Linked DNA regions of Rattus norvegicus. The protein of the gene in region 1 interacts with the protein of each later gene in a pairwise test. Links are inferred from orthologs where the notes say so. Each region holds a gene or a part of one and is shown in the gene's direction. Other genes may lie near its edges. The genes, in order: Mid2, Gem, Enkd1, Ccdc120, Tsga10, Lgals8 and Unc45a.

Region 1 (3,500 bases):
CTTTTCAGAGACCTGCCTGCACTCAAGCAAAGCCAGGGTTCTAGGCTGCAAGCAGAATTTCAGATTGAGTCAGTATGGTGCAGAATTGGAGTTTATTAGGAAGAACGTGTGACACAGATTTGAACTTGGGGTGTTAATAGAAAGAAAAGTGCTCAGGGAACGGATGCGACATGTCCGAGAGTATGAGCATGGGCCTCTCACAGGACATCCCCCTTGAATTCCTTAGCGGTAGCTCAATAGAAGATTTTAGAGGGTTTTGAACTTACACAGTTCAAGGTGTTTTAAAGGGAACACCCTTCCTCTGTCTCTTTTCTTCATTTTGATAAGGAAAGGAATGGGATGGCTGTAGGAACCTTGAGTAAGATTTCACCCTGATCAGGTAAAACCAGGGTCCAAAGGTTACACAAGGGTGTTAAGATGTGCCTTTCCGGGGTTGGGGACTTGGCTCAGTGGTAGAGCGCTTGCCTAGCAAGCGCAAGGCCCTGGGTTCGGTCCCCAGCTCCGAAAAAAAAGAAAAGAAAAAAAAAAAAAGATGTGCCTTTCCTGTAAATGTGGGGATTATTGTGAGATTCCTTAACAGTTGAAGGCTTACAGAAGACAGTCCCTAATTTCCCTGTCCTACTATCCTGCCTCATTACCTCACTTACTGCTTATTCTTAAGTGACTTAAAAATCTGCTGCTAAGGCATTCAAGGAGGATTCTCACTTGAGAAGCTCACACTTCTTCCGCTACAGCTTTAGAACTATTGTTAAAACAGAAATTTATGCTCATTATTCCTCTACTTAAATTGCTCCAGTGTCTCCTGTTCTTATTCTTAGGTTAAAGGCTCGAGTTAAAAACATAGCATGTAATATTTCACATGGTTCTGCCTCTTTCTCCACCCTTTAAGCCTTTGTTAACTGATCATCATGTAGGTCATGGCTTAAGAGTAGCTTCCAGCTGGGCACAGTGGTGCATGCCTTTAATCTTGGTACTGGAGAGGCGGGGGTAGGTGGATCTCTGAGTTTGATGCCAGTCTGGCCTACAGAGTTCCAGGACAGCTCAGACTTCACAGAGAAACCCTGTCTTAAGGCAAGGAACAAACAAACACCAAACCAAACCAAACCCAACCAAAACCAAAACCCAAAATAAAACAGAAACTTGTTCTGGGGAGAGTTGTCTTTGGTCCCATGTTCCTGTGTTTCCCATACCCTCCTTGCATTCCCCATTTAATGTCTCTGTTCGTTCCCCATGACCTCTGAGCTCATTGAACGCGTGGATCACAGTGAACCTGTTTCCTTGAATATCTGTACAATGGAGCACAGTGTAGGGCACCTTAGTTTTGCTTAATAACGTTTGGGTATGTGAATGGATGGATAGGTAGATGAATAAAAGAAAAATATTGGGAAGGCCAGGAAAAAATTATGACCAATTTTTCTGACTTAATATTAAGATTATTATTCATCAAATACTAGAAAAATAGCTCTTCACTGTGAAACCTTAAGATTGTCTTGTGCTGGGCATCTAGTTGTATCCCTTTAATCTTAGCACTAAGGTGGTACTAGAAAAGGACCACAAGCTCAAGGCCATCCTTAAGTACATAGGAAGGTGAAGGCCAGCCTAAAGTACAGCAGATTCTGTTAAAGCAAAAACAACAAGATAAAACAATACCAAAAATAAAATCCAAAACAGTTGTATGCGGTTAACCCCTCATTTATTTTTGCTGTCATGCAATCGATTCTAGAAACATCTATGGTTTCAGAAGTAGGCACAAGCTATTGGTTGTAGATATGTAGTATATGTATTTGCCCAATTGCTCATTGCCTTACAAATGGCTCAGTATAAAAGTTGCTGTTCTGATTTTACTCTACCCCATGCTTCCTCTCTCCACTGGAACCTCCGTAGTGTTTGCAAGATAATGTTTCCTTCCATTTTGCTATCTGTATGCACAAGGAACTTCATTAATTCTGATTCAGAAGGTCTGATACTGGACTAAAATCTGAATATTTTTGTAAAAGTTTCCCCACATAAGTCTAATTAACCATTGGATCATAAGAATTGCTGATGTACATAAAATGTATACTTAAAATTAGGAATAATGTACACGGTTATGGAAACAGAATTTAAGATCAGACAAACGTGGCTTCAATTAAAATTTGACTTTTACTATTGTGTGTGATCTTGGCAGCCTCCTTAGCTTTTAAATGTGCATGCTTCCTTGCTTACAAAATAGAAATAACTTCCACTGTATAACATTGTGGTAGAAGAAAATTAGATACTTTATGCAGATTCTTCATGTTCTTGCACAGAACCTTATATATACTAAGCATTCTATGAACTTTAGTATTATATTGTTTTTGTAAGTCACTCAGTTACTTGTTCAACACATATTTATTCACTATGTGTTCAACATTGTTTTAGGAACCATAGAAGAAGATATAGGAGGTAAAATAGGAACCTATTCCTGTGTCTCTTAAAGTTAGTTGGACAGCCTAAGACTGTAACCCAGTTAGCAGACTGTTTGCATAGCATACACAGAGCCTTAGGTTGAATCCCCAGCACCTCCTAAATGGGACATGGTGGCACATCTCCCTGACCCTCAGGAGACATAAGGAGGCGAAACAGGATTCCAAGGTAATCCTTGGCTGGGTAGCATGTTCAAGGCTAGCCTGGGATATGCAAAACCCTATCTCAAATAAATACATAAATAGGAAAGAGACATTTCGGTGGGAACATAGTTATCACAGTGTTATGCAATTAGAGAATAATGCAATGAAATATGAATATTTTAAAAGATCAAATAATGAATAGTATTAATGGGGAGACACTAACCCAACACGTTGGTTTCTTAGTTAGCACGGAAAAAGGAGACAGAAAGCAATCTGAAGCTGCTCTTCCCAAGCCAGCAGAGGTCTACTTTGATGCTGCCTGCCAGATGGAAAATGATGCAGAGGGGAAAAAATCCTGTATTTACTTCTCAAAATTAAGACAGGATGGCGGAGTGTGTTTGAGGGGCGAACATATGTGTGTAAATATGGTATAACTCTTAATTGGTTCCTTACGATTAAAATGGAAACCGTTTCCGTTGGAAAGGCAGAGATCTGGTATTTTCACTTACAAGTGATTTATTTTTACCTCGTTAAACCAGAAATCAAACACTAGATGAAGGTTGCAAGCTTATTTGGATGTATATTGATGTATTTTTTTTTTCTTTTCAGGGTCGCTATGGCAACTGCATCTTCGCAAGTTCTGATTCCAGACATCAATTTTAATGATGCCTTTGAAAACTTTGCTTTAGATTTTTCTAGAGAAAAGAAACTATTGGAGGGGCTAGACTATTTAACAGGTGTGGAAGAGCTGTGCTTTCCTCCCCCCATTGTATTTATTTATTTTCCTTCTGTACCCATTTGTCTAGAGTAAACTGAAAAGGAAAATATTTGCAATAATGAAAAAAATAACACTTTTCCAGTATGTGTAGTTTTTCAGACAAGATCAAGTGTGCTTCAGGTGGTACGGTTGTA
Region 2 (4,105 bases), on another chromosome or scaffold:
GGACTCCACCTTTGAGACTAAGGCGCTCTAAATCTTTCTTATTCGGTGGATTCTACCTTTGCCAACTTGGTTCCTGACAGGCCTCAGAAGCTGGTCACTTGGATAATTCCCAGATCGCATAGATGCCTTCGGGAGAACTGGGACACCATTGTAACCACAGAGCAGCCCAGCCACTCCAACAGACAGTGGTGCTGGCTGTTTCTTGAGGAGTCACCGGCCAACCCACAGCAGACGCTGGCTGGAGAAGCAGATGGATTTGTTGGAAAAGCTAGCATGGAGTCTAAACACAGCATGTGGGAAATGCCCATGTCCTGGGGACGCTCATGTCCTGGGGAAGAGGCCACTTAGCAGTGCAGTTTAAAAGGTACTTAAACTAGGCTCTGAATGTTGCCTCTGCCTCCACCCTGACCTTAGGCAGGTTCCCTTGTAGCGAGACTTGTTCTCAGTCCACAACTGTAGTAAGGAGCAAGGTTCTCTGGGCCCACCAGAACCACAGGTCTTTGCAAGTCTTTGCAAAGGGTTGTAGCAATAGGACTCTCTGAGGGAATTGAGCCTGCTTCTCCCCATGGCTGGGAAGCCCTGGCTCCAGGCCACATCCAGCCATGCTAAGCAGCTCGGTTCTGAGATGCACCGATCGGGGTGTGATTAAATTTCTGATTGGCATTGTGGCCAGACCAGGAGGACAGCAGTGTTTAGCGCAAGCTGCTTGGAGCCAAACTGCCCTTTTTCAAGGTCTTCCCCACTCTTTTCTCTGGCCCGTTCTCTTTGGATCTCTGCAGGAAAAGGGAAACTGTGTGTCCCCAATCCAGAGAGAAGGTGACAGGAAGCAGGAAGGGCCTGGTTGCTTTTCAGAGCATGCTGTAAAGGTGGCCTGTCCACTCAGGTGGCTGTAGCCCCATCCTGGAGGCCGGAGTCCCGCTCACTCTGATGGGTCTGTTTTCTTGGCACAGCTGGACTCGCGACTCAGGCCTGCTTCTTTCCCCATCCTTTATTCAGACAGCTCACAAGTGCTCTGCTGGGAAGGGCGATTAAGATGCACTAAGTGTATTTTTCCAGTGTCCACCTGATAAAAAGAAAATAAAACAAAATCAAGGAGGCCAACGTTTGAACTGTCTTTTTTTCCCTCACACTCTCCTCAAGGGGCTAAGGGAGTCACATGACTACGAGTAAATGATTTAGCCAAGTGGCTGCAACTCCGAGTTTGCTGCAGAGCCGCCCCCTCCCGGCGGGAGCGCTGACGTCACGGAAAAGCCCCGTCGCGGGGCTGCCGGGCGCGCTATAAACGGCGGCGGGCCGCGGAGGCTTCAGGAGGCGGCACTGCCAGCGGACATCACACAGCCTTAGACTGCGGAACCCGCATCGGCAGGCGGCAAGCATTGCAGCAGGCAGCAGGCATTGTCCGGACCGACGGCAAACGCCCACCCAGCGCCCAGTACAGCCAAGTAAGGGGACATGGATGAGGGGCAGTCCCAGTGGGACCCTCCGCGGGAAGGGGCGTTCCTGGTCACTGAACTTTTTAAGTTGGGAAGGGAGACCCTAGACCATGAAGTCTGTGCCAGGGGTTCTCCCATAGGAGAAAGAAGTTCAGGTGCAAAGGATGCGCTTCTGATGGGGGTTCCTTAATTCAATTCCGGAGGAGTGTCACCTTACAGATTAGGTGGCCAGGCGGCAGACTTCAAGGTCTCAACACAACTCTGTCAACCCAGGGATTGTTTTTAAGATTTAAAAAGAAACCGGCTTGTTCTGTCTAGTGGTATAGGTGTCATGTGTGAGCGGAGTGCTATCCCTGCACTCACGCGCGGGGAGCTTGTTGAGTTAACCATGGAGTGGATGCTGCTGTGTTATCTCGGGCAGTCTTGGCAAAACGGACTGCCTGTCAGCAGGGGAGGCGGTCTTGCAAGGAGAAAGTTGTAGGAAGTTGAGTGGCTTTTCCCTGAATCTCTGACCTTCTGATTTACTTCAAAAAGGTGGAATTCTGAGCTAATTAAATCTTGGACTGGACAAGATTCCTTAAGAATGAAGCACTTTTTGTACAAGTTTGATGTATCTGAACGTGAGCAGGTCCTTCCCCTGTCAGAAGAACCAGGCTCAGGGCTGGTTATGCTAAACAGTATCTGTGGGTGAGAGAGCAGAGCTGAGGCATAAACCTCAAACTGTCCCACTCCCCAAATAACGGTCTCTTCAGGCAGCTGGAGAACATCAGGGCAACTTTACTAAACATGGAAGTTCCCCCAAAGCGCCTGTCCAGTCCAGCCAGGGGAGTGATGTCATTGCCACGTGTTTCCCACTGAGGCACAAAAGACTGCAGGACACTGGGCAGTGAAGAGCCCTGTTTAGACAAGAACAGCTAACCTGGCCAGCTGGTCCCTAGCAGTACTGACTTGTTGCTGATGGTAAAGCCATTTCTGGAGGCAATGGGTTCCTTCCAGATTCCTCTGTGCCAACTTCCAGTGGGATTTTCCTTCAAGGATGGAGGAAGCTTTTGAGCAATGGATGGTGTTACTGGTACTACAAATGACAGCCTGAGTGAGAAGCTAGTCACCGTGTGTGTGTGTGTGTGTGTGTGTGTGTGTGTGCGCACTCGCGCTGTTGTTGTTGTTGAAGACTTTGCTTGCCAGGCTTAGGAAGAGTTTCATGGTTGTTCCTTACGTTAAGAATTCATACCTATCCAGTGAAGAACCCCTGATGACAGTATTGAGACTCCCTGGGCCTGGCTCATTCTTAACAATGTCGCCATCTTTACTGCTCTGATTCCCAGGATCCCACAATGACTCTGAATAACGTCACCATGCGCCAAGGCACTGTGGGCATGCAGCCACAGCAACGCTGGAGCATCCCTGCTGATGGCAGGCATCTGATGGTCCAGAAGGATCCCCACCCCTGCAACCCCCACAACCACCACTCCACTGCTCCCGATGACCACTGCCGGCGGAGCTGGTCCTCCGAGTCCACAGACTCGGTTATCTCTTCCGAGTCAGGAAACACCTACTACCGAGTGGTGCTTATTGGGGAGCAAGGAGTGGGCAAGTCCACCCTGGCCAACATCTTTGCAGGTGTACATGACAGCATGGACAGCGACTGTGAGGTCTTGGGAGGTAGGTGGCCCAGTTCCCGGTGCTGTTCTGTCTTGTAAGCAGGAAGAGCAAGAGGGAGTGGGTCGTTTCCCTGCAGAATTGGGAGCCAGGCATAATGGTACACATTTGTAATCCCAGCACCGTGAAGGAAGAAGCAGAAGGACTAGGAAGTCAAGGTCATCTTCAGCTACATAGAGAGGTTTGAGGCTAGCCTGGGCTATGTGATTCTGTCTCAAAAAACCAACAAATTAAAACAAAACGTTATCTTCAGAATTAGGGGAGAAACGCATGCCTTCTCAGTACTGAGATGGGAGACAGAAACCTACCTACTGGCACAGAGCCCAGCGCGCGCGCGCGCGCGCGCGCGCACACACACACACACACACACACACACACACACACACACAGAGGAATATGTGTACACAGTGACCCAAGTTATCAAGAGGCTTTCTGAAGGTCAGGTCTGGGAGGTTCCAGAAAGGCTGACTCTGCCCTGGACCAGTTTTGGAGAGTTCATCACCACAGATAATTTTCCTGTGACTATGCATAAAACCAAACTGATTTTGGGGGAAAGAGACCTGTTAGAGTGGATCAATTAGTTTGTTTCCACTAACATTAGAAACATTTGTGAGTGTAAGCAGGTCAAATGCTGTACTTGAAGTAACATAATAACTTTAAAAATTTTGAAATGGAAAGATGATGATTAAACGCCCCATGTAGAGCCTGACAGGCCTTCCAGATGATTTTCTCTTCCAGATGAAATCCTAGTTCAAGGATTTATTTATTTAATCCTTACCTATTCCTAGACCCATTTTATACAAACATACATTACACAATATATTGTATATATTACACAATAAATTACAACTGGGTAGCCAGTTGTTGTCATACAGTGTCCTTCAGCTAGAGCCCCAACATCTCATGCATACCCAGAACAGCTGCACCTCCTGTTAACAGCTGTAGAAATGGAGAAAGGAGTGTTGGAACTCCTCACATGGTCTGTCCCGACTCTCAGTTAAGATGTATACCCT
Region 3 (4,178 bases), on another chromosome or scaffold:
AAAAACAAAAGCCCAGGGATTGCCACTCACGCTCCAGCCCCAAGGTCTCTGTGGGTGCAGATGCGCTGGCCACAGCTGGGGGCACAGGAGCCCCTACACTCTTGCGTTTCTTGGCTTTTTTGTGCTGTTTAGATGACAGCGAGGATTCACTGTGGCTGCCTTCTGGCTCCTCCTTCTGTAGCAGCAGCCCTGGTGGCAGTTCGGCCTCTGCCCTAGGATGGGCATGGTAGCTTTGCCCTGGGAGGGCTGGGGTACTCAAGCCTGGGACAAGAGGCCTGAAAGAGGTAGGCTTCAGTCTTTGGTTCCTGTGTCTTGAACCTAGGGCTTACCCCTGCCTGTCCACCAAGCCACACTAGAGCTAGTTAACTGTCCATTTCTTAGTGAAGTTCCAAACCCAACAGGGGCCCAGCGTTCAATGGTAGCTAAGTCTCCTACAAGACTAAGAAGCCCCAAATCCACACCCCCGCCCCAACTGTTCTAGAGAAACAGGAGCTGGAGGTGAGGGCATTAGAAGAAAACAAGGTTCTTTGCCTTGAAGGAATTGGGATTTAGGAATCTCCAGGTCTAAGACCCACCTCCCCAGCCTTTCCCCTTGAAAGCCCTCTCACTTTCTCTTGGGCCCATGAGCTGGCCTCACGATGGATGATGTAGGCTTGGGTCCTCTCTCCTCTCCTGCTTCCACCCCTGGATTGAGCCCTTCCTCTCCCAGGTTTATTCCTTCCTCCTGGAGCTCTGGCTCTAAGCTGTGTCCTACTGGACACCTGTCTTCACCTGGAGTGCTGCAGGTCTCGTGTGCTGGCACCAGACACTCTTCTGTTCCTGGACACTAGAAGACATACATAGGTAACTGATAGCCCATGGTCAGGCAAAGCCCAAAGCTGCTGCAACTGGGGCATCTCTCTTGGTTTGGGGGCCTCTCCTAACTACATATTGGCCACAGAATAGGAAATCTTAGGTCCCTCTACCTGCAGGACTTGGCCTGGCAGTTAGAAGGTTGGGTCACCTAGAGTCCTGCTCTTCTGCCCTACCCCTCCTCCTCCTGAGCTTTGAAATGCCCAAGTCACCTCAGGGATCTCTGCAACCTGGGCTAACCCTACTGCTGCCCCATTCTGGGCTTCTGGCTGCCTCTTGGCCCCTGCTGAGGCCATGGCAGGAATCAATGCATCCCTCGACGGTTGCTCAGAGAAGACCGCAGGCCCAGAGCAGGGCTGGACCGGTGCTCAGTGTTGGTAGGGGAGACAGGTTGAGAGGTAAGGATCCTGTTGCGACCCGAGACTTAGACTCGCTCCTCATCTGGAACTACAAACCCCAGAAGGCATTTCGCCTTAGTCATTTGACCCCTGACCTCAGGAAGCCATTTGTTGCCAAGCAACAGCAACTCCTACCGACTTGCTACAGTTGGCGGTAAAACTGCTGCAGTGAGAGTCCACGCTGGGGCTTTGCAGGGGGAGGGGCCGCGAACCCCTCAGGGCCGTGTGCTAGTCGCGGGGCGGTGGTACGGGCTGAGCTTAGGAAACGAGCGGTAGTCGAGGGGTGGGGGTCAGTGATGGGGGGTACCACGGGGCTACAGAGCTCGGGTGGAGGGTGGAAACACCCGACAGGGATTAGAGGGGACATTTGCACAGCGCAACAGGTCCTGATGCACAGTTGCAGGGCTACGGTAGGATCATGTGCGAGGGCCCGTCCCGCATCTCTGGACCCATCCCCCCAGACCCTACTCTCTGCCCGGACTACTACCGGCGGCCGGCCTCGGGTGAGTTGCGGGGTGCCGCGGCGGGGCGAGTACCCCGCCCCACCTCTGAGCACGGCTTTCCACCGCGTCTTGCTCTTCAGCCCAAGGACGCCTGGAAGGAAACGCGTTGAAGCTGGACCTGCTGACTTCAGGTCGCGACCTGGACTCCAGCCCTCCTCGTGGCCCTCGCATCAGGCCTGGAGCCCGAGAGATCCTAGAGCGTGGCCAGCGAGGTGTGGGGGACGTGCTGCTGCAACTGGGGGGCATCTCCCTTGGTTCAGGGGTCTCTCCTAAGAGTAAGTCCTTGCAGACGGGGTATTGAGGCATTCATAGGTCAAAAGCAGAGATTAAAATAGGGTGCTTCTTAACCGCCTTGAACCCATTCAGTTAATGTGTTTTTCTGGGTCTTAATTTCTCTAGCCTAAAAGAAGGGCAAAATACTTCTTGCAGGATCAGAGTTCATCCTTCTGCAGAGAGCTCCAGCTTCAAGCTTTCACACCTTGATAGAACAGTTCCCTTAATGCCTACTTTGTGCCAAGCCCTATGGTTGTTAGGAAAACAAGGTTAAAAAGTATGGGAGTTGTCCCAGGGTAGGGTAACACCCAAGGGGGGCTTCCCCTTCACTGAAGAGAAGGGAAGGGGGTAATAGGGAGCCGGATATGACAGGGGCAGGACTGGGGTGGGGGTTACAATTGGGATATAATGTGAATTAAAAAATAAGGGGCTGGGGATTTAGCTCAGTGGTAGAGCGCTTACCTAGGAAGCACAAGGCCCTGGGTTCGGTCCCCAGCTCCGAAAAAAAAAAGAACCAAAAAAAAAAAATAATAAATAAATAAATAAATAAATAAATTTTGGGGAAAGAAGTAAGGGAGTCAATAAACAAGACAGGACATATGTATAATATACTCGGTGATATCATAAAATGTAGAAGGTAATCACAATTTCTGTGTAAGGGAATAAGCTGCTAATGTTGCTGTGTGTATGGCATTCAACTTCCATGTAGAGGTCTTGGTTGTATTTAAGAACTTTGTGTGTGATATTGGAGATTGAACCCAGGGCTTCTCATATACTGGACATCTCCCAGGGGTAGGGTGTGAATCTGTATGAGATCTAGTCTGAGTTGCACAGCCATTCGTAGGGCTGTTCCTAGCAACATTCCTCCCCTCCTCCAGGGAAGGATCCAAAAGACCATGAGAAGGAAAACTTGAGGCGGATCAAAGAGATTCAGAGGCGATTCCAAGACCAGGAACGCAGCCGGGAGCAGGCCCAGCCCAAGCCCCTGAAGGCACTGTGGCGCTCACCCAAGTATGACAGTGTAGAGTCTCGAGTCAAGGCCAGGATGAAGGTATCTGTCTCAGGCAGGCGGACATATCCATCTTGGCCAAGGCAGTTATATCTAATCTAACTTACGGGGTGTGTGTGCGTGCGTGTGTGTGTGTGTGTGTGGTGTGTTCACAAAGACTAAGACATCTGGTGGACCTTCTCTGAGGAACTGATGGCATCAGGGCAAGTGAGGATTAGGCTAGAGGAAGAAAAGGTTCCCCAGAGATGAAACCCCACAGGTAGGTAAAAGTTCTGGGCTCAGGGAGTAGGGGCAATGGGCATATAGATATAATTCTATTTGTAGGGGGAAAGCAGAAGGTTAGAACAGAAAGCCAGTTAAATACATATCTGAAAGAACTACCTAAGTTACTTATCAACATGTGATATTGGAGATTGGATCCTGGGGCACACGCACACTGGGTACTCATAAAATTATATCCTCAACCTTCCTACTAATTCATTCTCAGTTTCTCTGTCTCTATCTCTATGTTTCACGTAGCCCAGGCTGACCTCAAGTTCTTTGACTTTCTGATGCTCCTTTGTTCACCTACCAAGTGCTGGGATCAAAAGTGTGCGCTACCACGCTGCTTTCTCTCTTCTTTTTCTTTTAGTTAATTACTTTTTTGAGATTAAAAAAGACCAAAATTATGTGTCTGGGTGCCTGCATGTATGTCTGTGCACCACAGAGACCAGAAGAGGGTGTGGATCTCCCGGAACTGGAGTTACAGAGAGCTGTGAATTGCCACATGATACTGGGAATGGAAGCCACATTCCCGGGTAGAACATCCAGTGTCCTTAACTGTTGGGTGCTATCATACCCCACCACCACCACCACTTCCACTGCTACTTTGTTTCTAGACAGGGTCTCACTGTGTAGCCTAGTCTAACTTCAAACTCCTGTAGCCCAGGCTGGCCTTGAACTGGCATAATTCTCCTTCCTGTCTTAGCCTCCCAGATGTGGACAAAATGGGTTTGGACCACCACTCCCAGATGATTTCTCTCTGAGTTGGTAGCTTGCTGTTTAGCCTTAGGCTGTCCTTGAATTCTCTCTGTAACCTAGCCTGGCCCCAAACAGTTACTTCTGCGTCAGCCTCCTGAGTCCTGGGACTGTAGGCATGTACCA
Region 4 (3,998 bases), about 92 Mb from region 1:
AGTCAGTAGTCCTTAGGTAGGCTACACAGAAGTGCCTATATCCAGTGGTATAAGGAGCTAGAACCCAGACCTTGACTGATCTCTTGCTTCTCCATTTCTCACCTGTAGAGGATGTAGTTCTGCACTCGGAGAGCAGCTCCCTCTCAGAGTCAGGTGCCAGCCATGATAATGGTGAGAACTATTCCCTTAACCTGTGCTCAGCCCCTCCTACTATAGCTCCTCCTTAGCCGCGCCCCATGTCCCTATGTGTTCTTAGTTTCTCCTTTCACTGCCTTCCTCTGCCCCAGACCCTACAGGTCAGTCTCTACATTACCTTTTTTGCCTTGCATCATTCATCCTTTAGCTTGTTGAAGCCTATCCCAGCAATGCCCCTCCCCTTCACATGCCCCTCCCCTTCACATGCCCCTCCCCTTCACATGCCCCTCCCCTTCACATGCCCCTCCCCTTCACATGCCCCTCCCCTTTGAGCCTGCTCTGCCCCTTTGGGCCCTCTCGTTGAATTTTACCTTATTTTTCCTTCTACCCAGAAGAGCCTCATAGCTGCTTCCCTCTAACGGAGCGCCCCTCCCCACCAAAAGCCTGGGACCAGTTTCGGGCGGTATCTGGGGGGAGCCCCGAGCGACGTGCCCCATGGAAACCTCCGCCATCAGATATTTATGGGGACCTGAAGAGCCGGCGCAACTCTGTGGCCAGCCCCACCAGGTAAAGAGGAACCCGTTTTCCCATTTCCCGGGACCAAGAGTGGGATCCTGAGCCTGGGTTGGCAGGAGGGCCTACTGGTGGGTCCACTTTCTAACCTGGGTCCCGATGTGGGCCTGCCATCTCTGTCTAGCCCCACACGCTCGCTGCCCAGGAGTGCCTCCAGTTTTGAGGGGCGAAGTGTGCCTGCTACCCCTGTCCTCACCCGGGGCAGTGGCCCCCGGCTCTGCAAGTAAGGGGACTCTTGAGGGTGGGTCTGAATATGAGAGGAGGAAGACTGTAGTCCTAACTGTAGATGTTGAATTACCCGAAGATGTGGGACTTGGGCAGCCGGCCTTTGAAAGGCGGATAGAAGTTGGAGTGGGAATTGGAGGCAGAGGTGTGAAAGTGGGGCTTTCCCGTGTTTTCTTGGATGCCATTTTCTTTCTCTGAATCTTTGTCTCTTCATTTGTGGAGTGTGATATCTGCCTTTGAAAGGCACGGGCACAGTGCATGTTGGGTAGCATGTGCAAATGCCTACTGTCTGCTAATAATTGATAGCATTCGTGGCGGATAGTAACTCCTTCTCGCATTCTAAGACCCCTCTGAGGAGATGCCGTCATTTGCATTTTATAAATGTAGAAAATGAAGCACAGAAAGGTTAATTAGGTAACCTGTGAGCAAACCGAAGTTCTCATGCTTGAACCCATGGAAATTTATGGAATCTAGTGTCAGCCTCGAAGCACTATACTATAATGTTTCCTAAATGTTAAACATGTCTATTTTTCCCATGCCGTGAACAGAAGCCTCGTGTTTTAGAGGGCCTACATTCTGTGCATGGTGGGACAGTTGTTTGGGGATGGTTCATAGGCGTGGTGGGTTAGAATTCAGCAAGGCCTTTAGTTCCAGGCATAAGGCCTAGGACTTCCTTCAGGAGGTAACAAGGAGCCATAAGGATAACCTTAGGGGGAGACTAGGAGCCCCTGGGTAACAGAACAGTACCTGGGTGTGCCCTTCCTTAGCTACTGCTTCCTTCCCAGAAACATTTACGTAACCCTACGAGCGTGTACCCCATCCTGGTGTACATTTTCACGCCCTATGCGCCAGCTTCCCTGTGCGGGAGCGAACTTCACTGGCCCATGACATTACACGCACTGCTCAGCGCTATAAGAAGGCAGCTCCTAATACTGGTCCCATTTTAGAGCAAGGGGGGGGGGGGCTCAGAAAGAGATGGGGCAGCCAGGGCGCTCATCATCTGCATTCTTTGTCTGACCCTGCCCTTGTTACCTCACCTCTGCTCTCCAGACCCGAAGGCCTCCATCCTCGTCAGTGGTCCGGTAGTCAGGACTCCCAGATGGGCTTTCCTCGGCCTGACCCTGCTTCGGATCGGGCCTCTCTCTTCGCAGCTCGTACGCGCCGCAGCAATAGCTCTGAGGCCCTGCTGGTGGACCGTGCAGCTGCTGGGGGAGCTGGATCACCACCTGCTCCGCTGGCTCCCCCTGCTGCTGGTCCCCCAGTTTGCAAGAGCAGTGAGGTGCTGTATGAGCGCCCCCAACCAGTCCCTTCTTTCTCTTCCCGTACCACTGGCCCCCCAGACCCTCCTCGGGCTGCCAGACCTAGCTCGGCTGCCCCTGCATCCCGTGGGCCCCCCCGGCTCCCACCTGTGTGTGGAGACTTCCTCTTGGACTACTCATTGGACCGAGGCTTGCCCCGCGGTAGTGGCGGGGCCGGTTGGGGGGACCTGCTGCCTGCTCCTGAAGTTCCAGGACCCCTTTCCCGCAGAGACGGGCTCCTTGCCATGCTCCCAGGTCCTCCACCCATATATGCAGCTGATGGTAGCAGCCCCCTCCTCCGCAGCAAGGACCCCAACAGCCGTGCCATCCGTTCCAAGCCCTGTGGCTTGCCCCCAGAAGCCGTGGAGGGTCTGGAAGTGCATCCAAACCCATTACTCTGGATGCCCCCACCCACCCGGATACCTCCAGCTGGTGAGCGAGGTGGCCACAAGAACCTTGCCCTGGAGGGGCTGCGGGACTGGTACATCCGGAACTCGGGACTGGCCGTTGGTCCCCAGCGCCGGCCAATGCTCCCGCACGTGGGGCCAACACACACACCCTTCCTCCATGCCCGCTGCTATGAGGTGGGCCAGTCATTGTACGGCCCTCCCAGCCAGGCACCGCTCCCGCACTCCAGGAGTTTTACAGCGCCCCCTGTCTCTGGCAGGTATGGGGGTGCTTTTACTGATGGGTAGGGGTATTGCTACAGATGCTGAAGGTATCCTGACCAGGGAGCACTTTGTCACCATAGCTGCTGAGTGTCGGGACCACAAGAAAATGAGCTGTAGTCTTGGCATGGGGTCACTGTCAGACATAACTTTTATTAGTCCTTGGGGTCCTGAGGAGGAGGATCTTGGGTGTTGGTGGCAGGAGTTCTTTCCCAAGCTTTAGAAGGGTTTTTCTGTTTTCCATAGTGTGGGGCAGCTGGCAGTGAGCCTTGAAGTCAGGGTGCTGGGAGGAAGGGACTCATGCTCTCCCTGGCTTTCTCTTCCAAGCTTACTCCATGCTTGAGAACCTGAAGGTGCTATCCTGTAGCTGTCTCCACCTCTTTAACAAGCTCTTCTCCTCTCTCTGTGTGTGTCCTATCCGTCTTTTCCTCTCTTACCTTGTCCTCCCTACCTGTCTTCCGGATTCCTGCTGTCCTTTCTAAAGATACTACACGGATTTCCTGTATCCCCCGGAGCTGAGCGCTCGTTTAAGTGACCTGACGCTAGAGGGGGAGCAGTCTTCCAGTTCTGATACCCAGACCCCAGGGACACTGGTCTGACCCTAAGCCCTGTGTCGGTCTGGACAGACAGACTCCAGTCTGAGGAGCACACACAGTCAACCTCGCTGAGCCCTGAGATGTGGTTGTTCTTGGTCCTGCGGGACAACTGCCTGATCTCACAGGACCCCTGGCTTCCTTTTGGCCCGGGAAGATGTCTGATACCCCTGCTTTTCTTCTTACCCTGTGCTGGGGGTCTGGAGGGCCCCAGCTAGCTTCAAAGAGGGGGATAACGGTGTGGCGACTGCTTCTTCCTCCATTTCTGTTTACACTTGTGATTTAGCATTCACTGTCTTTGCCCAACACTCGGTGTTTTATAAAAGGGAAACTGAGCTCATTCCTGGTTGGGTTCATTCCTGTCCCCGTGCCCAGCCTGTTCCATTCCAGAGCCACCACCCTGCCTCAACAGAATGGACCACATAGAGTCTCGGGACTAGGACTGCTGTGAACAGAGCTCCCTGCCTCCTCCCACTAGAGTTCTCGAGCAGGTGGGCTTCTGTCTA
Region 5 (3,980 bases), on another chromosome or scaffold:
TTTAAATGAGATAACAGACTCACGAAGTCAAAAGCCATTATGTTCTTGCATGCCGATTCTAGCTTTACATGTAGGGGGTAAATACGGGTGTGAATGTGGACATAGCTCACGAAACTACAAGGTGAGGCGGGAAAGAGTGGTTTGAGGGTAACAGAACACTGTGACATGAAAAAGGCAGGGACCACTGGGGTCACTGGAGTGGAACGGCAAGGGGAGTGGACAACAGAAACAAATTTTGAAGGCAAATGCCACAAAGAAACCTATTTACTTTGCGTCCTAATAAAATAAATAAAAACGGGGTAAAAAAAAAAACCTTCTGGCTAAGATGGGTAGAAGCGGTAACGCACTCACAAAAGCAGTATGACAAAATACTTTTCATGCTAAACTGAAAAAAAAAAAAACAATGGCAGCACAGCGCGGGGCTCATTTCCATTTAGAAAGATTCGAGATGCCATTTTAAGGCTCTCGAATAGAAAAAAAAATACGTCGGATAAGAAAAGGCCCAATTTTGCTCGCTGGTAGGAGCCAAACTCGGGGTAAAACCTTCAGATACAGTATTTAACATCTCACGAGGTTTTATATCCTTTCTTGATTTTCATTGCTAAGCGTGCTAGAGAGGACCGGCGTGTAGAACAGAAATGCCCGACTGGCATGGGGGAGATGAATGCTGGATCTGCCATTTCCCAGATCCATCCTGACCCGAGCAGACCCGTGGCACCAGGACAGATCGTCTCCCGCCAGGAAGCTGCGACAGGGTCCCCCACCTTAAGGCTCCCACAGCACAGCTTCCTGACGATGGCTGCGCACCGGAGCAGCTCTAGGGAGTAACCGCCTCCCTCAGCTAGAAACGCCTGGGGTTCCTGGGACCGCAGCAGGGGCGCCAGCGCCGGGCGACGGCCACCGCGCTTGCGCGTTCCGGCTACCTCCTCGCAAGCGCAGGCTGGAGGATGGTTACTAAGAGACTGGACGCACGGGTCGGCCATCACGGCGCTGCGTGGCCGTGCGCCTGCGCGGCGCGGATGGACCAGGAAAAGGCCTCAAGTCGGAGCCCTGACAGCTCGGGCCCGCTGCTGTCTACGTCGCTACGTGCTCGCTCGGGTGCGCGCGCACGATCCGTAGTTCCCCCCCCCACGAGAGGGCGTGTCGAGCCAAGTACGCGTGCGCACGGGGGCTAGGGCGCGCCGGACGGAAGTGGAGCGGAGGCGCCGGGGAGGTGGAAGGAGAGCCCCGCTCAGGTACAGAGCGTGAGGGCGGGGCGTCGGCCAGCCCCGAGCTAACCGCTCCCGCCCTCTTCCCGCTGCGCCCTGCCCAGCGCCGGCCTCCGCCGGGGCGGAGCCAGGGGGCGGGAAGAAGGAGACAGGGGCGGAGGATGGAGGCCGGGGTGGGGCTGGATCTCTGGCAAGGCCATAGGCCCCATAGTGGCCGGGATGAGCTCCGGGGAGGACGGTGGCCGCGGAGGCCAGGGGAGGGCTGCGGAGCTCCAGGGAGAAGCCTCGGAGGTGCGCTGGGCTAGAAGAGAGCCACTCCGGGGCGGCTGCAAGAGGGTGGGGAGAGCCTCACGGTGGCCCGGGGTGGGCATCGCTGTTTGGGCAGCTGTGTCGTGGGTAACCCGCCGGGTAGGATGGCTTCCAGGAGCAAAATTTACCCTAGTTTCTGGGGAGTTCATGGTTGAGCCCAGTTCCTATGGTGACCGCTTCGCTGCTGCCTGCCTCAGCTTGGTTGTTGGGGGACTGATTGCTTAGAGACACTGAGGTGAAGCTGTGGCATTTGGAAGTTTAGCCTGTCTGTTTCAGGACCCCCCAGTCTCTCCTCAATCTCTTCTTTATAGATTAGAAGGCAGATGAAGGGAGAAATTGAATTTTGCATGAAAAAAAAATCTCACAATCTCCTAGTTTGTACAGAGGAAAGGCAGGGTAGGCTGGTTTTTGTTTGAAAACTTATTCAAGACTCAAATAGGCATCTGTCATGCATTTAATATCTAAAAATGCCGACGTATATATGTACATAAGTATTTGTATATAATCTTCAGTCAACGATTTAGATTTTAAGAAAGGTTTGCACAAGTGACAGGGTTCGGTGTTTTCTTTAAGCCCCTGCAGACCTGCATGTCCCACGGTACTAGCTAGTCATTTTATTCTACTGGTTTTCAGGATTTCGAGTACATTTTGTTCACTTTCGGGAAATAAAGTCATAGTAATTTCGGAATAGAATAGGTTGTTAAGCTAAAGGGAAGTTATATTTAACTGTGCTTGAAGAACAAAACAATTGTATTTTAATTAAGCAATGAACTAAGTCCTTCTGTCTTAATTACTGGGAAAGAAATAATAAATATATTACATCAACCAATATTCCTTTCAAACCCCCAAACCTCGATATTATTTAATGGCAGTTTTAAAAACAGGTTTTACTTATTTTCCAAAGAAGAATCATTGCCGTAGCCCAGAATATAACCAGGCAAAGAGAGAGCCTCTGGGTTCTGTTTTCAGTCTAATGTCTCATTTGTTTAAAAATCATTTGGTTTTAAAGTTTTCCACAAGTAGAGGCCATTAAAACAGGTGTAATTTATTCCCTAACAAGTCACATGCTCTTGCGCTTCCTTTATTCCCCATACTGGCAATGCTAGCCATTTTCTTGCTTTTCCTAGTAGTTTTATCATCCTGTGCAAAAGTACAGCTTACAGTCTGCCTTGTTAGGGGACTTTATAGAAGGGAAACTGTAGCAGGTGTTCTACAGCTTATTTTCAACACTTAGAGGTTGTATCCTTACTGCTTCTAGGTAGTTTGCTAGTGTTCCACTGTAAAGATATACCACAATTTACTGTCGGTGGGTTTTCAAATATCTGACAGGGTTATGGGTATTAAAATATATGCATCTCATGTTTTGAGGAGAGGCAGTGGGGAAGGTAGTTCTTTTTGTTTTAGTTGCACCATTAGTCTTAGTCTTAAATTACTAATCCCTTTGGTCTAGAAAAGCCTTCAGAGAACAGCTAACTCCGTCTTGGGTTTCTAAGGTCTTGATAAACACTGCCTCTCCATTGTTTCATGCTGCATTGAGAACATAAGTTATTTCTTTAGAGACTGGATTGTAGAAACAGAGATGAGCTTGGAGCTTGGAGTGAAATGACTGGGGAGATTTTGTTGTTGTTTACCTTAAGAAAAGTTTAAACTTTAATGACTTTACTATTTTGCTTGAAGTGAGTTCTCAAAACATACTCACTTATTTTTGTCATAAATATAAATGTGACATTCATAACCTTTTTGTAGGATTATCCATATCTCCTGGTAGGCACTTCTATCCTACTTTGATGAGTCTGTAAATCTAACTTTTGGAGAGAATTGTTTTAAAAAAAAAAAAAAGCAAAACTTAACCCTAGTTTAGCTTTCCCAGAACCAGTTTTCAGGACTGAATTGAAAATACTACAGTATTTTTAATTATTGTATCAATATAATAGCTACTTGCCAAATGTGTACTGTGTGACTCAGTTTGCTTAAGAGCAATGATACTTTGTGTGTTATGTGTTACATGCACATGTATACATGTGTGTGAAGGTTACAAACTGACCTGGGTGTTTTCCCTTAATCCCTCTTTACTTTATTTTATTTATTTATTTTTCTTTTGGTTCTTTTTTTTTCGGAGCTGGGGACCGAACCCAGGGCCTTGCGCTTCCTAGGTAAGCGCTCTACCACTGAGCTAAATCCCCAGCCCCTCTTTACTTTATTTTTAAGGCATCATTTCTCACTGAGCCTGGAGTTTGTCAGTACAGTTAGTCTGGCTGACCAGCATGCCCAGTGGTCCTCTTATCCCCTGCTTGTCCCATGCTAGGATCACAGGCACATGCTGCCCACTGCTGTGCCCAGTCTTCTTTACAAGGATGCTATGATCCAAATTCTGATCCTATGTGTACAGTGTGTACTTTCCTGACCCTAATGATATATTTTTAAACTAATTTTTAAACGTTAGTGTACAGAGCTGGAGAGATG
Region 6 (3,500 bases), on another chromosome or scaffold:
GAGAAATGGGGCTGGGAGGAGATCACCCACGACATGCCTTTCAGAAAAGAAAAGTCCTTTGAGATTGTGATCATGGTGCTAAAGAACAAATTCCAGGTAGGTGCTGAGAGAGAGAAAGGGGGTGTGTGAGCGTGCGTGGGGATGGCGTGGGGAACTATATGTCACCGTTCAGATGGAAACGCAGATGCAGAACAGAGACATTCTTAGGTCTTCTTCCAGGAGGGTAAATTCTGGATCATGTCACGGTTAGGGGAGTGGGTTATAAAACCCACACCTGAAGTGTCCCACTGCCCCTCATGGCTCCATGACAGATCCAGTGCATGCATCTCCCACCCCGAGAGGCCATGGTGCCCAAGAGGAAGATTAGTGTGGATAGAGCGATGAAGGCGGAGCCCAAGCTCCATTCCTTGAGGCTATCGGCCAAGCCCCGCCCCTGCCAAGGTGGACAGGAAGCCGGAAAAGTGGGAAAGGATAAAAACATCAGACAAAAAAGTGCAGATAAAAGGGAAGAGGGAAGCGAAGGGCAAACAGGCTGACGTGGCTGACTACAGATCTGCCTGCAGACAACGGAGAGACAGAAAACCAGAGAAGAGAAAGATACCAAGTCCAACTAAGCTTCCATCACGTCTGTCAGTGGTCCCTGCCACTCTTCTTGTACAATCCAGAGGAATATTTTTTTATCAACCATTTTGTAAATGCCAGTTTTTTAGTAGCTCTAGAAACATTTTTAAAAGGTGAGGGAATCCCACCCCATCCCATTTTTTTAAGTGTAAATGTTTTTTTTAAAGAGGTTAAATCATTTGCTGGTTGTTTATTTTTGGTACAACCAGAAAATAGCAGGATACTGAATCAGGAGAGGCTGTGACTGTGTTGAGGGTCACCATAACATACTGTAGAGGGGGCTGGTTCTATATCCTACAGTACAAAGCTTACTAAATAGCAATTTGGAGTCTCAGTCATGCATTCGTGTCTGGAATTTTTTCAGTTATATCTGGTCCAGTGTTTCTAGTAGAGCCATTTTGTAAGAAAGCCAGTCTTTGGTCCTCGCCCTGTCAGAACTGTGATGCCTTTTGTCATGGCAGACCATTTTCCTAACAGTTGTGATAATGTGCAGTGAAAGATGGAGATTTTGAGTCTGTTCTGTGGTGTTGTGAATTGGTGGAACTGAGGATTATGAGCATTTGGTTGTCATGAGAGGTCTTATGGAAACTTGCCAAGTTTGAGGAAACAATACGTAGCTCTTTGTTTGCGTACATAACGCAATGTGACTCTTCAGCGTTTGCGTACCTGTGATAAGAATTGAAATGTCTGTGTACTCTGCTCCTTGACCAATAGAATCTCAGTTATGAAAATAAATAAACAAATAAATCCCACACCTGAAGTGTGGGAAAGTCTGCATGACCCGTCTATTGGTGAACAGGGAGCACCTCAAAGGGGCATGCCCAGTCTCTCAGCAAGCTACTGCTGTAGAGCCCTGAGGGCCTTGTGAACAGTGACTTCCAGAGGCCCCTAAGAGTGCCAACCCCCAAACCCATAGAGGGCTTGTACAGCGGAGGTCTTGCAGCACATTTTGGTCCAGGTCCTTGTGGGACATTGCCCTTTGGAGCCCCCTGTGCTCCTCGGTTTGCTGTCCTATGCCCTTCAGTCTTTAATCTAGCTGTACCCCCCGTTGTTGCCCTGGGTTTGTTGTATATGGGGATTTTTAAAGCTCACTCAAAGGTCCTACTGTGGGCCCTACTACGGGCTGCTCATGTCTCCCTCCTGGAATCTGAGGTACACCACCTGGCATTTGAAGGTCCTGTGTAGAAGATTCACAGATACAATCTTCCCATCTCACACAACTGTAGCCCACTGAGTGAGGCTCTTCTCACCCCGAGATAAGAAATCTCAAATAAGTCAGAGAGCTTACCGTCACTTTGCTTTGTGTGTGTGTGGGGGTGGGGGGGTTTGTCTTTTGAGACAGGGTTTTTCTGAGTTGTGCTGGCTAGCCTTGAACTCACTCTGTCGACCAGGATGTTCTAGAACTCAGGAGTCTGCCTGCTTCTGCCCACCAAATGCTGGGATAAAGCACCATCACTGCTTGGCTGCTGCGTGCTTTCACCGAGTGAGCTCAGTGCCTTCTTGTCCCTCCCATAGAGGTGGGGCTGTCAGACTGTAGCCCTGAAAGAGGGTTGGGACCACAAGGAGGCAGAGCTTACCTGCATCTTAGGCTTCCAGACCTCGTGAATGGCTCTTGGGGCCCTGCGCATGGTTGTCTCCTGGGCACACACAGATAGATACATGTGGAGCACACATAACATCCAAATGTATGTGTCTGGAGAGATGAGTCAGGCACTTACTCAGACAGTACTCCAAAAGTTCAGAATTTCTGCTACTGAGGTTGCTGCTTTCAGCCACAATGCAAGCAGAGATCTGTGAGAAAAACCTGAGGCGTCATCTCATTCATTCATTCATTCATTCAGTTTTGTGGTGCTGGAGATGAAACCTGGGACTTCACACTGTGGGCAAGTGTTGTACCACAGCTCCAGTCCCACCCCGTAAGAGACACTTATTTGGATGAGGACTTACCTATCACTGTGCTCTGAGTGCATCGCCTTCTGCGTCTCTCCAGGTGGCTGTGAATGGAAAGCACATTCTGCTGTATGCCCACAGGATCAACCCAGAGAAGATAGACACACTGGGCATCTACGGCAAAGTGAACATTCACTCCATCGGGTTCAGATTCAGCTCGGTCAGTGCCCTTCCACACACCCCTGGGGGCTTCGGGGACAGTGTTTTCACGTTTGGTCAGACCAAATGGCAGAAACTTCCTTTAATTTACACCTTCCATTTAGGTAAAAATAATATAACTATTTCAGACCTAGTTGGGTTCTGCCCACTAAGCATGCTTTTGTTGTTATAGGACCTCAGATCTAGAGTGAGCCTACCAGTTGGTTAGTTAGCGTGAATCTCCTGTCCCTGGGTGTGAATAACTAACTATTCCTATAAGACAGTTTTCTATGTATCTAAATTTAAGCTTCCCGGACATTGCTAGCTTGTTTCCAATGCTGTGAACGGTGTAATTCTCAACAGCTGTGCCTAGCTCTTAGGAACATTAGATCTTGTTCTCACAAACTCTCGCCAGTTTGGGGGACCCCCACTGTTGAGTTGCATTTTTAAAAAGCATAATTATCAATAATTTTCCATGGTCAGTATCACCAATAAGTTTTTATTATGTTCAATATTTTAAAGAGAGATTCTAATGGATGTTAAAATTAATGTATGTTCTTTTGCAGGATTTACAGAGTATGGAAACATCTACTCTGGGACTGACACAGATAAGTAAAGAAAATGTAAATATTCTATGAACCATCAGTTTAAAATGTTCTTAGTTACTCTCAGTGGAAGGAAGGATCTTTTCTCCCTTTAATGATGGAGTTTTCTGTATGTGTTCATATGCATGCAGGTGTGTGTGTGTGTGTGTGTGTGTGTGTGTGTGTGTGTGTTCAGGTAGGCTAGAA
Region 7 (2,609 bases), on another chromosome or scaffold:
CTTTGAGGCCCTCATGGCCCTAACGAACCTGGCCGGGATCAGTGAGAGGCTTAGGTAAGGTCCTATGCAGCTTGGCACAGGGATTTGGGTGAGCCCCAGTTACTCACGCTGGAGTTTGGAAGACAGTTCCTGGTCATTCTGTGTGCCTCACAATGACTCCTCTGCCACATACAGAGGACACAGTCATGCCAGGGGTGGCAGGGTGAAGCGCTGGGGCCCTGACTCTGCCCACTACATCCTCCTCCTCTCCTCAGACTGCTGACACTCACTGGCTCACTCACCCTAAGAAAGTCTTTAAGTCATTCTGCCTCAGCTTCCACTCAGAGTTAGTTAGGTATCTAACTGTGGAGTAGTAGCATGGAGAGATGGCTGAGAAAATGCTTATAAAACCCTTCATCAGGCACAAGTGGTGGCTCATGCCAAGGGAGGAAGATTGGCTGTGAGTTCTAGGCCAGACTCCCCAACCTCTCCTGAAAGCCCTTAGTTCCTAGGTATCTGGCCCTGGCAGTAGTCACAGTGAATGTGTATTAGTTGTTAGTACTGTGACCTTGAACACATGACTCACCATGCGGCCCAGTTTCTGCTTTGGCTAAATAGAGACGGTAGCCACCACTATACATGGAGTAAGGTGAACATTAAGGAAGATAATTCAAGCCTGGGGCTATGATGAGCGTCAGGTGAAACAGTTCAGGCAGCTTGGGCAGGTTCAGAGCTCAGATGATTGATGTTTACCGAGCTATCTTCATAACCACCCTGCTTTGCTAAGTTCCAGGACGCTCAACACCCCCATGCTGTGTGTAGCCAGGCCAGAAGGCTAGAAAGCTCTGCAGTTCATAACCCACACAGGAAAGCCTGTGGGCACTGCTAGGGGAGCGCCTCAGCTCAGGGCACAGCCACCTGGGGTAGTGTGGTACAGGATGATATGGAGACTCTAGTCACGTGTGCCAACTTGTCCTGCAGACAGAAGATCCTGAAGGAGAAGGCCGTGCCCATGATTGAGGGCTACATGTTTGAGGAGCATGAGATGATCCGCCGGGCAGCTACAGAGTGCATGTGTAACTTAGCCATGAGCAAAGAGGTGAGGGTCGGTCCAGCTAGTCACCGTGACAGAGATGCCAGCGGCCCTGCACTTTGAGCACACTGTGGGCCGAGGTAGCAGGGTCCTCTCCCCGTCTGTTCGCAGGTACAGGATCTCTTCGAAGCCCAGGGCAACGACCGGTTGAAGCTGCTGGTGCTGTACAGCGGAGAAGATGATGAGCTTCTGCGGAGGGCTGCTGCCGGTGGCCTGGCCATGCTCACCTCCATGCGGCCCTCACTCTGCAGCCGTATCCCACAAGTGGTTAGTTGCCTGTTCTTGTGGGGGGCATGGAGGAGGGTGAGGGAACTAGCAGTTCCTCACATGGTAGCATCGCTCTTCTGTTGGGGAGCTCCCAGGGTACAGATGTGTTTTCTGCCAGAGTCGAGCCTGTTGCTAGGTCTTCACACCCACCATTCCCTACAGACCACGCACTGGCTGGAGATCCTGCAGGCCCTGCTTCTGAGCCCCAATCCGGAGCTGCAGCACCGGGGCACTGTCGTGGTGCTGAACATGATGGAGTCCTCGAAGGAGATCGCCAGCACCCTGATGGAGAGCGAGGTCCTGGAGATCCTGTCAGTGTTGGCCAAGGGCGAGGAGAGCCCAGTCACCAGGGCTGCTGCAGCCTGTCTGGAGAAAGCCGTGGAATATAGACTTATCCAACCCAACCAGGATGGGGAGTGAGGTTCTGCCCTGGACCCACAGCTCATGTGTCTGCTACCCATCACAGCTCTGAGAGTCAGGATAGAAGCAGCGTGGCCAACAGGACTGGGATGCTGGACACTGGCCTTCCTCCCCAGCTGCACTTTGGTGTTCTCTATCCTGGGGACACGCACCACACAGCCCTGCCCTGCCAGCACTCAGAAGGGCCCTGTCTGTACTGTAGAGAGCTGGGAATGGGGAGCACGCATCCCATTCAAGTCTGTGGATTATGGGCATCAAGAAGGAAGGGCACAGTAGCATCCTCACAAGCCGGGAGCATCACCAGAGCCTGCCAGCAGGCTAGTCCCTCTAATAAATCATGTGGAACTAAAGCTCAAGTTTGTTGTGTAGGCGGGGCTGCTGAGGGTGGGACGCTCTGGAGCTGCAGCCTAGTGTGCTTCCCCTGTAAGGAAAGGAAGCCAGTGGGCACATGGAGAATCTGTAGACAAGGCCTTAATATGGGTAAGTCAGGCTGGCTTCAAACTGACGATCCTTTCTCAGCCCTTAAGAGTAGTGCGGGGCTGGAGAGATGGCTCAGTGGTTAAGAGCACTGACTGCTCTTCCAGAGGACCTGAGTTCAAATCCCAGCAACCACATGGTGGCTCACAACCATCTGTATTGAGAGCTGATGCCCTCTTCTGGTGTGTCTGAAGACAGCTACAGTATACTCATATGAATAAAATAAATCTTAAAAAAAAAAAAAAGTAGGGGTTGGGGATTTAGCTCAGCGGTAGAGCGCTTGCCTAGCGAGCACAAGGCCCTGGGTTCGGTCCCCAGCTCCGAAAAAAAAGAAAAGGAAAAAAAAAAAAAGTAGTGGGAATTACAGTTGCCG

The links.
Region 2: the proteins of Mid2 (region 1) and Gem interact in binary tests that used the Homo sapiens proteins (3 or more experiments, as listed by UniProt). The link is inferred for Rattus norvegicus from reciprocal best matches to the Homo sapiens genes MID2 and GEM.
Region 3: the proteins of Mid2 (region 1) and Enkd1 interact in binary tests that used the Homo sapiens proteins (3 or more experiments, as listed by UniProt). The link is inferred for Rattus norvegicus from reciprocal best matches to the Homo sapiens genes MID2 and ENKD1.
Region 4: the proteins of Mid2 (region 1) and Ccdc120 interact in binary tests that used the Homo sapiens proteins (3 or more experiments, as listed by UniProt). The link is inferred for Rattus norvegicus from reciprocal best matches to the Homo sapiens genes MID2 and CCDC120.
Region 5: the proteins of Mid2 (region 1) and Tsga10 interact in binary tests that used the Homo sapiens proteins (3 or more experiments, as listed by UniProt). The two-hybrid records come from large-scale screens. The link is inferred for Rattus norvegicus from reciprocal best matches to the Homo sapiens genes MID2 and TSGA10.
Region 6: the proteins of Mid2 (region 1) and Lgals8 interact in binary tests that used the Homo sapiens proteins (3 or more experiments, as listed by UniProt). The two-hybrid records come from large-scale screens. The link is inferred for Rattus norvegicus from reciprocal best matches to the Homo sapiens genes MID2 and LGALS8.
Region 7: the proteins of Mid2 (region 1) and Unc45a interact in binary tests that used the Homo sapiens proteins (3 or more experiments, as listed by UniProt). The two-hybrid records come from large-scale screens. The link is inferred for Rattus norvegicus from reciprocal best matches to the Homo sapiens genes MID2 and UNC45A.

Annotation. Positions count from the first base shown.
Region 1 is NC_086039.1:109,223,820-109,227,319, forward strand, and holds part of Mid2 (probable E3 ubiquitin-protein ligase MID2), read left to right. Parts: intron 1-3,197; coding exon 3,198-3,325; intron 3,326-3,500. UniProt on the Homo sapiens protein: E3 ubiquitin ligase that plays a role in microtubule stabilization. Mediates the 'Lys-48'-linked polyubiquitination of LRRK2 to drive its localization to microtubules and its proteasomal degradation in neurons.
Region 2 is NC_086023.1:30,010,336-30,014,440, forward strand, and holds the start of Gem (GTP-binding protein GEM), read left to right. Parts: upstream 1-1,305; 5' UTR 1,306-1,442; intron 1,443-2,758; 5' UTR 2,759-2,767; coding exon 2,768-3,095; intron 3,096-4,105. UniProt on the Homo sapiens protein: Could be a regulatory protein, possibly participating in receptor-mediated signal transduction at the plasma membrane. Has guanine nucleotide-binding activity but undetectable intrinsic GTPase activity.
Region 3 is NC_086037.1:50,503,617-50,507,794, reverse strand, and holds the start of Enkd1 (enkurin domain-containing protein 1), read left to right. Parts: upstream 1-1,378; 5' UTR 1,379-1,668; coding exon 1,669-1,753; intron 1,754-1,833; coding exon 1,834-2,028; intron 2,029-2,904; coding exon 2,905-3,077; intron 3,078-4,178. Other genes in the region: C19h16orf86 (uncharacterized protein C16orf86 homolog), read right to left, coding at 31-275, 609-826, 1,065-1,148. UniProt on the Homo sapiens protein: Microtubule-binding protein which regulates microtubule organization and stability. Promotes the stability of astral microtubules and facilitates the proper orientation of the mitotic spindle.
Region 4 is NC_086039.1:17,440,219-17,444,216, forward strand, and holds the end of Ccdc120 (coiled-coil domain-containing protein 120), read left to right. Parts: intron 1-108; coding exon 109-171; intron 172-527; coding exon 528-702; intron 703-832; coding exon 833-931; intron 932-1,983; coding exon 1,984-2,898; intron 2,899-3,383; coding exon 3,384-3,498; downstream 3,499-3,998. UniProt on the Homo sapiens protein: Centriolar protein required for centriole subdistal appendage assembly and microtubule anchoring in interphase cells. Together with CCDC68, cooperate with subdistal appendage components ODF2, NIN and CEP170 for hierarchical subdistal appendage assembly.
Region 5 is NC_086027.1:47,591,262-47,595,241, reverse strand, and holds the start of Tsga10 (testis-specific gene 10 protein), read left to right. Parts: upstream 1-1,180; 5' UTR 1,181-1,235; intron 1,236-1,380; exon of another isoform or gene 1,381-1,427; coding exon of another isoform or gene 1,428-1,499; intron 1,500-3,980. UniProt on the Homo sapiens protein: Plays a role in spermatogenesis. When overexpressed, prevents nuclear localization of HIF1A.
Region 6 is NC_086035.1:62,726,353-62,729,852, forward strand, and holds part of Lgals8 (galectin-8), read left to right. Parts: coding exon 1-96; intron 97-2,611; coding exon 2,612-2,731; intron 2,732-3,275; coding exon 3,276-3,332; intron 3,333-3,500.
Region 7 is NC_086019.1:143,690,683-143,693,291, reverse strand, and holds the end of Unc45a (protein unc-45 homolog A), read left to right. Parts: coding exon 1-54; intron 55-960; coding exon 961-1,078; intron 1,079-1,183; coding exon 1,184-1,339; intron 1,340-1,501; coding exon 1,502-1,759; 3' UTR 1,760-2,109; downstream 2,110-2,609.